2 linked regions of the Rattus norvegicus genome follow. The protein of the gene in region 1 purifies or fractionates together with the protein of each later gene. This does not show direct contact. Links are inferred from orthologs where the notes say so. Each region holds a gene or a part of one and is shown on either strand. Other genes may lie near its edges.

Region 1 (4,305 bases):
ATGGGGGGGCTATCTTATAGTAACTATGTAGGAGAGCACATATACACTTGAACCTATGGAAAACAGGTAAGTAACCAAGTCCCTTAGCTCAGGACTCTAACTCCAGCTGAGCTACTCAGTCACAGAGACCACCATTAATGGAGGTAGAATTGAAGCATCACCAAGCGGGGGCCTGGGGAGATGACTCAGAGGTTAAGGGCACTCACTGGCTGCTCTTGCAGAGGACCGAGGTTGGTGCCAGCATTCATGTGTCAGCTTACAACAACCTATAACTTCAGTTACAGGGGATCTGATGCCTTCTCTCCACCCGCCACAGTCCCACCATTAGGGCACTAGACTCAAACGCAGTACCCAGATATATATGCAGGCAAAATACCCATATACATAAAATTAAAATTAAAGGATTTAAATGCTGTAAGTTCAGGGCCTCCCACCTTCGGGGCCAGTGTCTCCATCTGCACTGGTTTCACAGAAGCTGTAGGTTTCGGCTGTTTGCTGGCATTTATTGCTTTGGTGGGCTGGACTGGTACTTTGGTATTCTGAGGTTTCTATAAGAGAGAAGCAGAGTGAGCAGGGCAAGATGGCCAGTGTAGCCCCTCCACACTTGTCACCTTGCCCTTGTTACCTTAGCCACTTGAGCCGGTCTGGCTCTAACTTTATTTCCAATTTCTTCTAAAACAGCTCGCCGGACAGTCACATGGCTCTTAGCTTTAGGATTAACTCCTGTGTCAATATTCTTCAAATCACTGGACACCTTAAAACAAAACAAACAAAAAAACCACAACCGACAACAAGCAAACAAACAAATAAAAAAAAACCATTAAATACAGAGAAAATGAAGAATACCTACCCACATGAGGTCAGGTTCTCAAATTCAGAACTACTTTGAGGAAAGTAAATATGCTGAAATCTATTTAAAAAGGGGAGGGTGGGACTAGAGATGGCTCTCAGCAGTTAAGAGCATTGGCTTCTCCTGCTGTGGACTGGGGTTCAATTCCCAGTATCCACACAGCATCTGTAGCTCCAGTTCCAGGGGATCTGACGTCCTCTTCTGGCCCATGAACGTACTGTACACACATGATGTACTTGATTTATGTACTTCAAAATAAAAGCTTAATTTGTTTTGTTTTTTGAGACAGGGTTTCTCTGAAGCCCTGGCTGTCCTGGAACTCACTCTGTAGATAAGGCTGGCCTCAAACTTACAGAATTGGGCTTTTGTTGTTTTTAAAATTTAATTATTTTTAAGGGAAAAGGTACATTTTAGGAAATCTAAAAATGCTATTTGAAATATCACTCTCAATTTGGCAAACCACCACCTGCCTAACCTATAAAACAAAAATCTTATTACTGGTCATGTAAATTGTTTTGCATATTCAAGCAGTTTTTAAGAGACACCAAAATCTCCCACCTAAATGACTACTTCTTCTAAGTAACCTGTTGTGATCCTTGTGGGTTAAGACAATTGGAAACTTCCATTCACACAGTATATCTATAAGGATAAAGAGCTTTGATACCAATAGTTAATGATGGTCCAGCTGTTTAAAACTGCTTGTCTCAGACTTAACACTAGCTTGGGTTATAATGTCAACCAAAGAATAAGACATAGCACCACAAGGGAAGACCTTCAGAAACACAGCTTTTTACAGCATAGACTCACATTAAGGATATTTTTACCAACAATAGGATGGGTAAAATAATTTTACCTCTCAAGTATTGGGAGAGTCAGACTTGTATGAAAAAGAAAAAAAAAAACAAAACAAAACTAGCGTTACTTGATCTTAACTGCCTTCATCTGGAATACAGTTAAGAAACACGACTTGCTATTCAGACTTCAAAGTTTACTGTGTGGTACAATAACAAATATTTCATGAGGAAAAATACTTAACTTCCTGGGAGTTAGGGGGTCCCTAATCCTTCGAACAAACAAACACCTCCCCAAAACTGTTTTTTAAGATGACCTGTTAGGATAGACCAGATAAAAATGCACCCCGTCTCTATAGAAGACTTAACTATTAAATAATTTAAAAGAACCAGTTAGACCAAAAGTACTTGTTAGTGGCAGTTACATCTACAAGAACCCTGACTGTATATCATTGTTTAGGATTCTGATCCCTAAGGCTAAGCTGTTCAGTCATTATTGCTAGCACCCCACTGCTAAATTCTAAACGTGTTTGAAAGTTCAATGTCTTATGAGTTGAGGCCTGGTAATGAGTACCCTTAAATTGGCAGCTTTTAACTAGCCAGGACAATGGCAGGCAGCTGTGTCAGGGCCCTCTTGTTTTCAACTAAGGTAAAGTAGATCCAAGTACAATTAAAGCCTAAAAGTCAGTAATACTTTCATTCTCAAAAAGATAATTAAATCAATTTGGCCTTTTGCCCCACTGTCTGCAATCCTAGGATTCAAGTTTTGTAATTTTCCTATTACACTTGGGTGGGTTTTTGTTTTCATTTTGTTATTTGTTTTTGAAGAGGACAAACCCACACTTTAATAAACTTGGCCAGGAAGGCAGTATGGAGACGGGAATGGGAAGCTCAAACAAAGCAAACTGAAAAGTGTGAAAAGCAGCGAAATGGTACGGGGCGGCTTCCCGGTTCCTCCCGGTCCTCATCCCCAGAGCAGCACAGCCCTGAGCGGTGACAGGAATGGAGACCCCAAGCCGGGCCTCTGGACCGCTCTGGCTCTGCCAGCGCCTCGCCTGTAGCTTTCCGGGCCACCCGGCAGGGCAGGGCACCGTAGCCCCAGCGAACTCACCGTCGGGCGTCGGAGCAGCGCCATGAGGGCCGCTCTGGCAAGTGCGGACGAGGCACTGCCACTCCGATCCGCGACACCGTTGGGAGTCTCAGGGCCTTGCCGCTCTGCGTCCACGGCCTGGGTCCGCGATTCAAATACCGCGCCGCTCACGCACCATTGGGTGGACGCACGCAGGGCGCGCGCATCCCATTGGCTAGACTGGAAGACCTTTCTGCACGCTGATTGGCCGGCTTGTATTTGCTTGTCATAGCAACCAGCGAGGCTGCCGGGCTTTGCTGTTTCCCAGCCTACAGTCGTATTTTCAAATCCGAGTCCCTGAGATTAAATAAAATAATTTTCCCTTCTACTGGAAAAGACTATCTTAATTTTTGGATGGGGGGAGCCATACGGACAGTTGTCTTTACAAGTTTGTTCTGGATTGGGTAGAAGTGGGCTCTAGAGAACATTCTGGAAATGCTACTTCTGACCTTACTTCCTCTTCCGGAAACGTCTACCTGGGAGTTTGGATTGGAATGGTCTGGCAAATGGAGCAATCGTCTCCAGGTCGTTCAGGGCTACAAGATGATTGAGGATCGAACGTGTTCTATATATGGTCTTTCTAAATCAGACCCCCAGCAGAGTCATAATTCAAGCTAGACGTGATTTGTATGAGTTCCAGCACGATACAACCGGATTCAAAAACTGTTTGTCAAACGGTGGTGTGATGTGCACAAGATTTCAAAAGAAAAATAAGGAGTATCCTAAGTTGAGAATAGTGAGAGATGAAACAAAAGAACTCTACCCTGGGGAAAAGACGGTAGTGATCAAGACAGGAAAAAATGCTACGGCAGGAGCCACTGCTTAGTGATATGATGTACGTGCAAAGTCCTGAAAAGGAGAGATCAACAGAAAATGGTCCAGTGCCAGCAGAAGGACTTGAGATTAGGCTCATATAAAACCTGACTCACATCAGGCATCCCCATTAGTCTTCATTGTTTTAGTTCAAGTCTCTTCTATTGGGAAACAGCAATTGCCCCCCTCCTACCCCCATAACCTCACCCAAACCTGACATTATCAATCTGAGTCTAAAGGAAGAACCAGTGTTGTCCCAACACTCCCACCTGGAAGACAGGCTGGCAGAATTACCCATCACTCTAAATTACACAAGAATATGGGAAATCAAAGGAGCAGAAATAGCTATTTATATTCCATTAAGTTCTTTCTCTCAAATACTTGCTCAAGGAAATGAAAGTTCTGTGACTGATTCCTTTGTTCAGCATTCTTGCTATCGTGAAGATGCCACAAATAGCCTTCTCCTTCTGGGAAGCTTTGGTTTGGATTGGGGAGGAAACTGTGCTCAGCAGTTTGTACTACGGCAGTGCCTGTAATTCCAGCTACTTGGGAGGCTAAGGCAGGAAGAGCCTTAAGATCATGATTTCAGTACCAGTTTGGCAACACAGACCTCATCTCTAAATGAAATGAGGCACTTTACCAAAACTATAGGCTGTACTTTAGGTTACTGTGGTGAACTTTACAACAGGATCTCGTGTGTCCCGGGCTGGTTTACAACTTTC
Region 2 (4,572 bases), on another chromosome or scaffold:
ATAAAGCAAGTTTGTTTTTTTTTTTTTTTTTAAAGATTTATTTATTTATTATATATAAGTACACTGTAGCTGTCTTCAGACACACCAGAAGAGGGCATCGGATCTCTTTACAGATGGTTGTGAGCCACCATGTGGTTGCTGGGAATTGAACTCATGACCTCTGGAAGAGCAGTCGGGTGCTCTTAACCGCTGAGCCATCTCTCCAGCCCATAAAGCAAGTTTTAAGACAGCCAGGTCTACACGGAGTGACCCTGTCTTAAAATTTTTTTTTTTTGTTTTGTGTTTTTTCCCCCTCAAGACAGGACTCGTTATGTAGTTCAAGCTGGCTTTGAGCAGCCTCCTGCCTCAACCTCCAGAGAGCTGGAAATGCTTATTTCAAAAAGGATGCCGAACAATCCAACAGGAAAGCAGAATCTTCTCAACAACTGGGTAGCTACATAAAAAAAAAATTTACTTCAGGGGAAAAAAAAATCAACTTTATCTAGTTTTCTCACCCAGAAATTTATAGTTTTGTTTTGAGAAAAGTCTATGTAGTCTGGACTGATCTTGAACTTGAAGCAATCATCCTGTCTCAGCCTTCTGAGTGCTAGAATTACAAGCATGAGCTAGCACCATTAGCTGACATTCAAGGACAGAAATATTAGTGTTTGATCTTGGAATGGATGCCCCAGATTCACCAGGGGTGGGGATATATATATATATATATATATATATATATATATATATATGCACATATACATTATAATACATTATATATAAAAAGCATATGCATATATATTATATAAAGCATATATACATATATATATATATATATGCTTTCTTAGGATGTTTATTCATTTATGGATCAAACTGTTATTTAAAAGCTATTAGTCACTATGGGTCAAACCAAGGGGCTAACATGCCAGGAAAGCATTCTAGCAGGACTACACCTCAGGCTTTCATCTGCGCTTTCTAAATCTGAGATTTATTTTTGTTTTGTTTTGTGTTTTGAGACAGGTTCTCTAGTGTAGGTTGTCTTCAAGCTCTCTGGCTGTGCAGTCAAGGAAAACTGTGATGTTTTGATCCTCCTGACACCATCTCTATGGAGCTAGGATCATAGCCATGTCCCACTACATGTGGGGCTATATATTGAACTTAGGGCATGATTCATGTTAGGCAAATGCTAAACCAACTAACTTATTAATCTAACTCCAGGCCCTAAATCTGCTCTGCACGGACATACAGAACGTTGAAGGACTTAAGACTGGTGTCTAGCATGAATGCTAACTGCTGTCTTAATCAGTGCTTTAGATAGTAGTTGAAATGACTCAAGTATAGTAGTGTAACCGTGTCAGTTAACTAACTGTGTGCCCGGGGGACAGAAGGGGCAGAAGGTTGCTACAATGTTGTAATTGAAACAAAGGTAAGAAAGCAACAGAAAGAGTCCATTTTTGGGGAAGCCACAATGTATCAAAAGATGCCACACCTAGCCTCTGGTGCTGGGTAGATCAAATTACTACTTAGGTTAGGTACTTAAATTAAGAGGCTTGGCTGGAAGGCTCTCTTGTTATGGCTCTATTTACTTCAAGAATCCCATCTCAGAGGTGGCCTTTAGCTTAGTGATAAGAGTACCTGCCTAGCACAATCAGGGTCCTGGGTTTGATGCCCCCTCACCCCCAGATAACAAACACAAATCCCATCCCAGGTCTTCTTGAAGGAATTAGACTGTCACGATCCATGATAATGCTGATTAATTAAACCTACAACTGTGAAGGGACAACCTTAAGGGGGGTGGGTGGTAAGAGTACTTGCTGCCCTTCCAAAGGACCAGGTTTGTTTCTCTGACACACTGACATCATAAGCATCTGCAACTCCAATTCCAAGAGGTTCTGACACCCTTTTCTGACTTATGTGGCACTAGGCACAAACGTAGTGCTCAAACACACATACAGACAAAAATACCCATATGTTAAAAAAAATAACAAGAAGACTTTTTTTTTAAAGGAAGAAGGAATACAGACTCCATGCCTAGCACCTAGGAGTCCATCACCTTCTGTCTTCAGCCAGAAAGGCTCTCTCCTCTTAATGTCATCTTCGTTTCAAAGTCACTGGTCATTTACATTATAATACCTCTGGCCTGGTCAAACAGCCTTTATGGGGTGAAAAGGGTTGGTAGTGGAGTCCTGGCTGAGTCCAGAGTGGTCCTGAGCCACCAGTCAGCCAGGAGACCTCCGAGGTTTCCAGGGGCCTCACCCTTACTGAGCTGTGGACACATCTGATGACCACCACCTAGCTTAGACTGAGTTCCTCTCGTGCAGGGCCGCTGCTAAATTCGCTCAGTGGGCTGGGGAACTCTGACAAACAATTGCGTAGACAGGCTGTCACTAGGTCAAGGGGCTCTTCCCAGAGAGTGGCGGGGGGTGGGGGGGAGAGGGGCAGACCCAGTGGGAAGGGACAGAGGGCCCGGGGGAAGTAGGCGGGGCGTGGACGACAGCGCTGACCTGGCGTCATCTGAGGGCTAGCCGAGCCCGTGACAAACAGGGAGGGGTGGGGCTGCTGCAGGGGTGCGACCGGACACTGAGGGGAGGCTGGGGGTCCGTCACGGGGCGCAGTGCAGCAGGAGCGCGGGCCAGGGCGCCGGGCAGAAGAGCGGCGCGGCCGGGAGATCTCACTCGGGTATGGGCTCACCTGGGGAGGCTGGGCGGGGCGCAGCGCGGCGCAGCAGCGAGGTCCCAGGTTCCGGGTCGGCGGAGGCCGCTGGGGACCTCGCAGAAGCCAGGCAGGCCGGGATCGGGCAGCGGGGCCTTTGGACACCAGGACGAAGCACCCTCCAAGAAGGGGAACGGCCCGTGAACGCGCGCGGAGCCAGCTCGCGCCAAAAATTCCAAACCGGCCTCGAGGCCCCGCCCAGGCTCGTCTGTGGCCCCGCCCCCTCCTGGTACAGCCGGTCAGGCGCCCGGGGCACTGGCTCCGCCTCGCGTCCTGCGTGCGCACCGAGGTCTCCCCGCCCCCGAGGTTTGGCCAAGCGCTCTCCCTGCGCAGGCGCACCTCTTCGGGGACTATTGCCGACTAGGTAGCTAAATTCTTAGTCCTAGAGACCAGGTGGGAATGATCCTTGACCCGTCGGTGTCCTCCGGACATTTGTCGGCCTTCAAACTATGGTCCTCCTACCCGCTGCTCTCCATTGGCTGCCTTAATATTCATATCCATAAAAGGGGCATTTCCTCAGGAAGTTGCCACTGGGGCAGCTCAATCAAATGTCCGTTACGCATGATCTTCTGCACATTCAGATACCTGTTCTCTTCACCACAGGATCGCGATTGAGAGTGCCTCGTCTAAGGTGGAGTCTCCTTACTTCAGTTACTTCTGAGGCAGTTTACATCCTTTAGTTCTGAACTTAGTGTTCAACTCAGACCCCTCTCAGTCTCTTCCTGCCCTCATAACTGCCGGTATATGCTGGGCATTCCCAAGCTTGAGATTGTCACCTCTCTTCGAGACGTGGAGCCAAGGAACCTAAGATGATTTCTGCAGAAGGCCTGCGTGAGCAAACGTGGGATGGAGCTTGCTTCTGCAGGAAAGGGACCTTTATCGATTTCATGTAGAAGTGAGGTATCATGCTTTACAGCCAGTCTCCCTAAAATGTTCTGGCAATCTCTTAGGAAGGAAGGCCAGGCCCTACCTAGACCCAAGATCAAGAGCAGCACACTTCCAAGCCCTTCCCTTTGCATTAGCGTCTCCGAGAGCCAGAACCTTGTGACTTGGGTTAGTCCCTGTTGAGGACCCCAGGCAGGTCCCTCTCCAACTATTTAGAACTACTTTCTGCCGGCCCCATTTTCTGGACAGGCCCTGCCCACTTCTAACTATTCATTCCTCAAAGTCTAATTCATAATGATTAAAACAAACAAATAAACAAACAAACACAATAACTAAAAATACTGCAATGGTACATGCCTATACCCCAAGCACGGAGGCAGCCGAGGCAGAAAGAACACATGAGCCCAGGAACTGGAGGCCAGTTGGGCACTATAACAAGACCCCTATCTTAAAATCAATCAAATAAACGATAAGTAAAAGTTGGGTATAGTGGTATATAGCTCTGTAACCCCAGCACTGAGGAACGGGAGGCTAAGGCAGGAGAATTTTTTTAGTTTGAGGCTACCATAATAGATATCAGAAGTTCCAGGCCCTTTAGAAGAAGGAGGAGGAAGAGGAGGAGGAGGAAGAGAAAGAGAAGAGGGAGAGAGGGAGGGAGGGGAGGAAGAAGGAAGGCAGGCTGGAGAGATGTCTCAGCAGTTTAGAGCACTGACTGTTCTTCCAGAGGCTCTAGTTCAATTCCCAGCAACCACATGGCGGCTCACAGCCCTGTTCTAAAGACAGCTACAATGTACTCCTATACATAAAATAAATAAATCTGAAGAAGAAGAAGAAGAAGGAGGAGGAGGAGGAGGAGGAGGAGGAGGAGGAGGAGGAGGAGGAGAAGGAGAAGGAGAAGGAGAAGGAGAAGGAGAAGGAGAAGGAGAAGGAGAAGGAGAAGGAGAAGGAGGAGAAGTTGTTGTTGCTTCAGGCCAGCCTGGGCTACATAGTGAGACACTG

The links.
Region 2: the proteins of Ccnb2 (region 1) and Pkmyt1 purify together in Homo sapiens (affinity purification with mass spectrometry; 4 studies listed by BioGRID and IntAct, with this or other methods). This does not show direct contact. The link is inferred for Rattus norvegicus from reciprocal best matches to the Homo sapiens genes CCNB2 and PKMYT1.

Annotation. Positions count from the first base shown.
Region 1 is NC_086026.1:79,978,815-79,983,119, forward strand, and holds the start of Ccnb2 (G2/mitotic-specific cyclin-B2), read right to left. Parts: upstream 2,845-4,305; 5' UTR 2,777-2,844; coding exon 2,753-2,776; intron 755-2,752; coding exon 626-754; intron 549-625; coding exon 435-548; intron 1-434. UniProt on the Homo sapiens protein: Essential for the control of the cell cycle at the G2/M (mitosis) transition.
Region 2 is NC_086028.1:13,251,142-13,255,713, reverse strand, and holds the start of Pkmyt1 (membrane-associated tyrosine- and threonine-specific cdc2-inhibitory kinase), read right to left. Parts: upstream 2,889-4,572; 5' UTR 2,668-2,888; intron 2,656-2,667; exon of another isoform or gene 2,514-2,655; intron 1-2,513. UniProt on the Homo sapiens protein: Acts as a negative regulator of entry into mitosis (G2 to M transition) by phosphorylation of the CDK1 kinase specifically when CDK1 is complexed to cyclins. Mediates phosphorylation of CDK1 predominantly on 'Thr-14'. Also involved in Golgi fragmentation.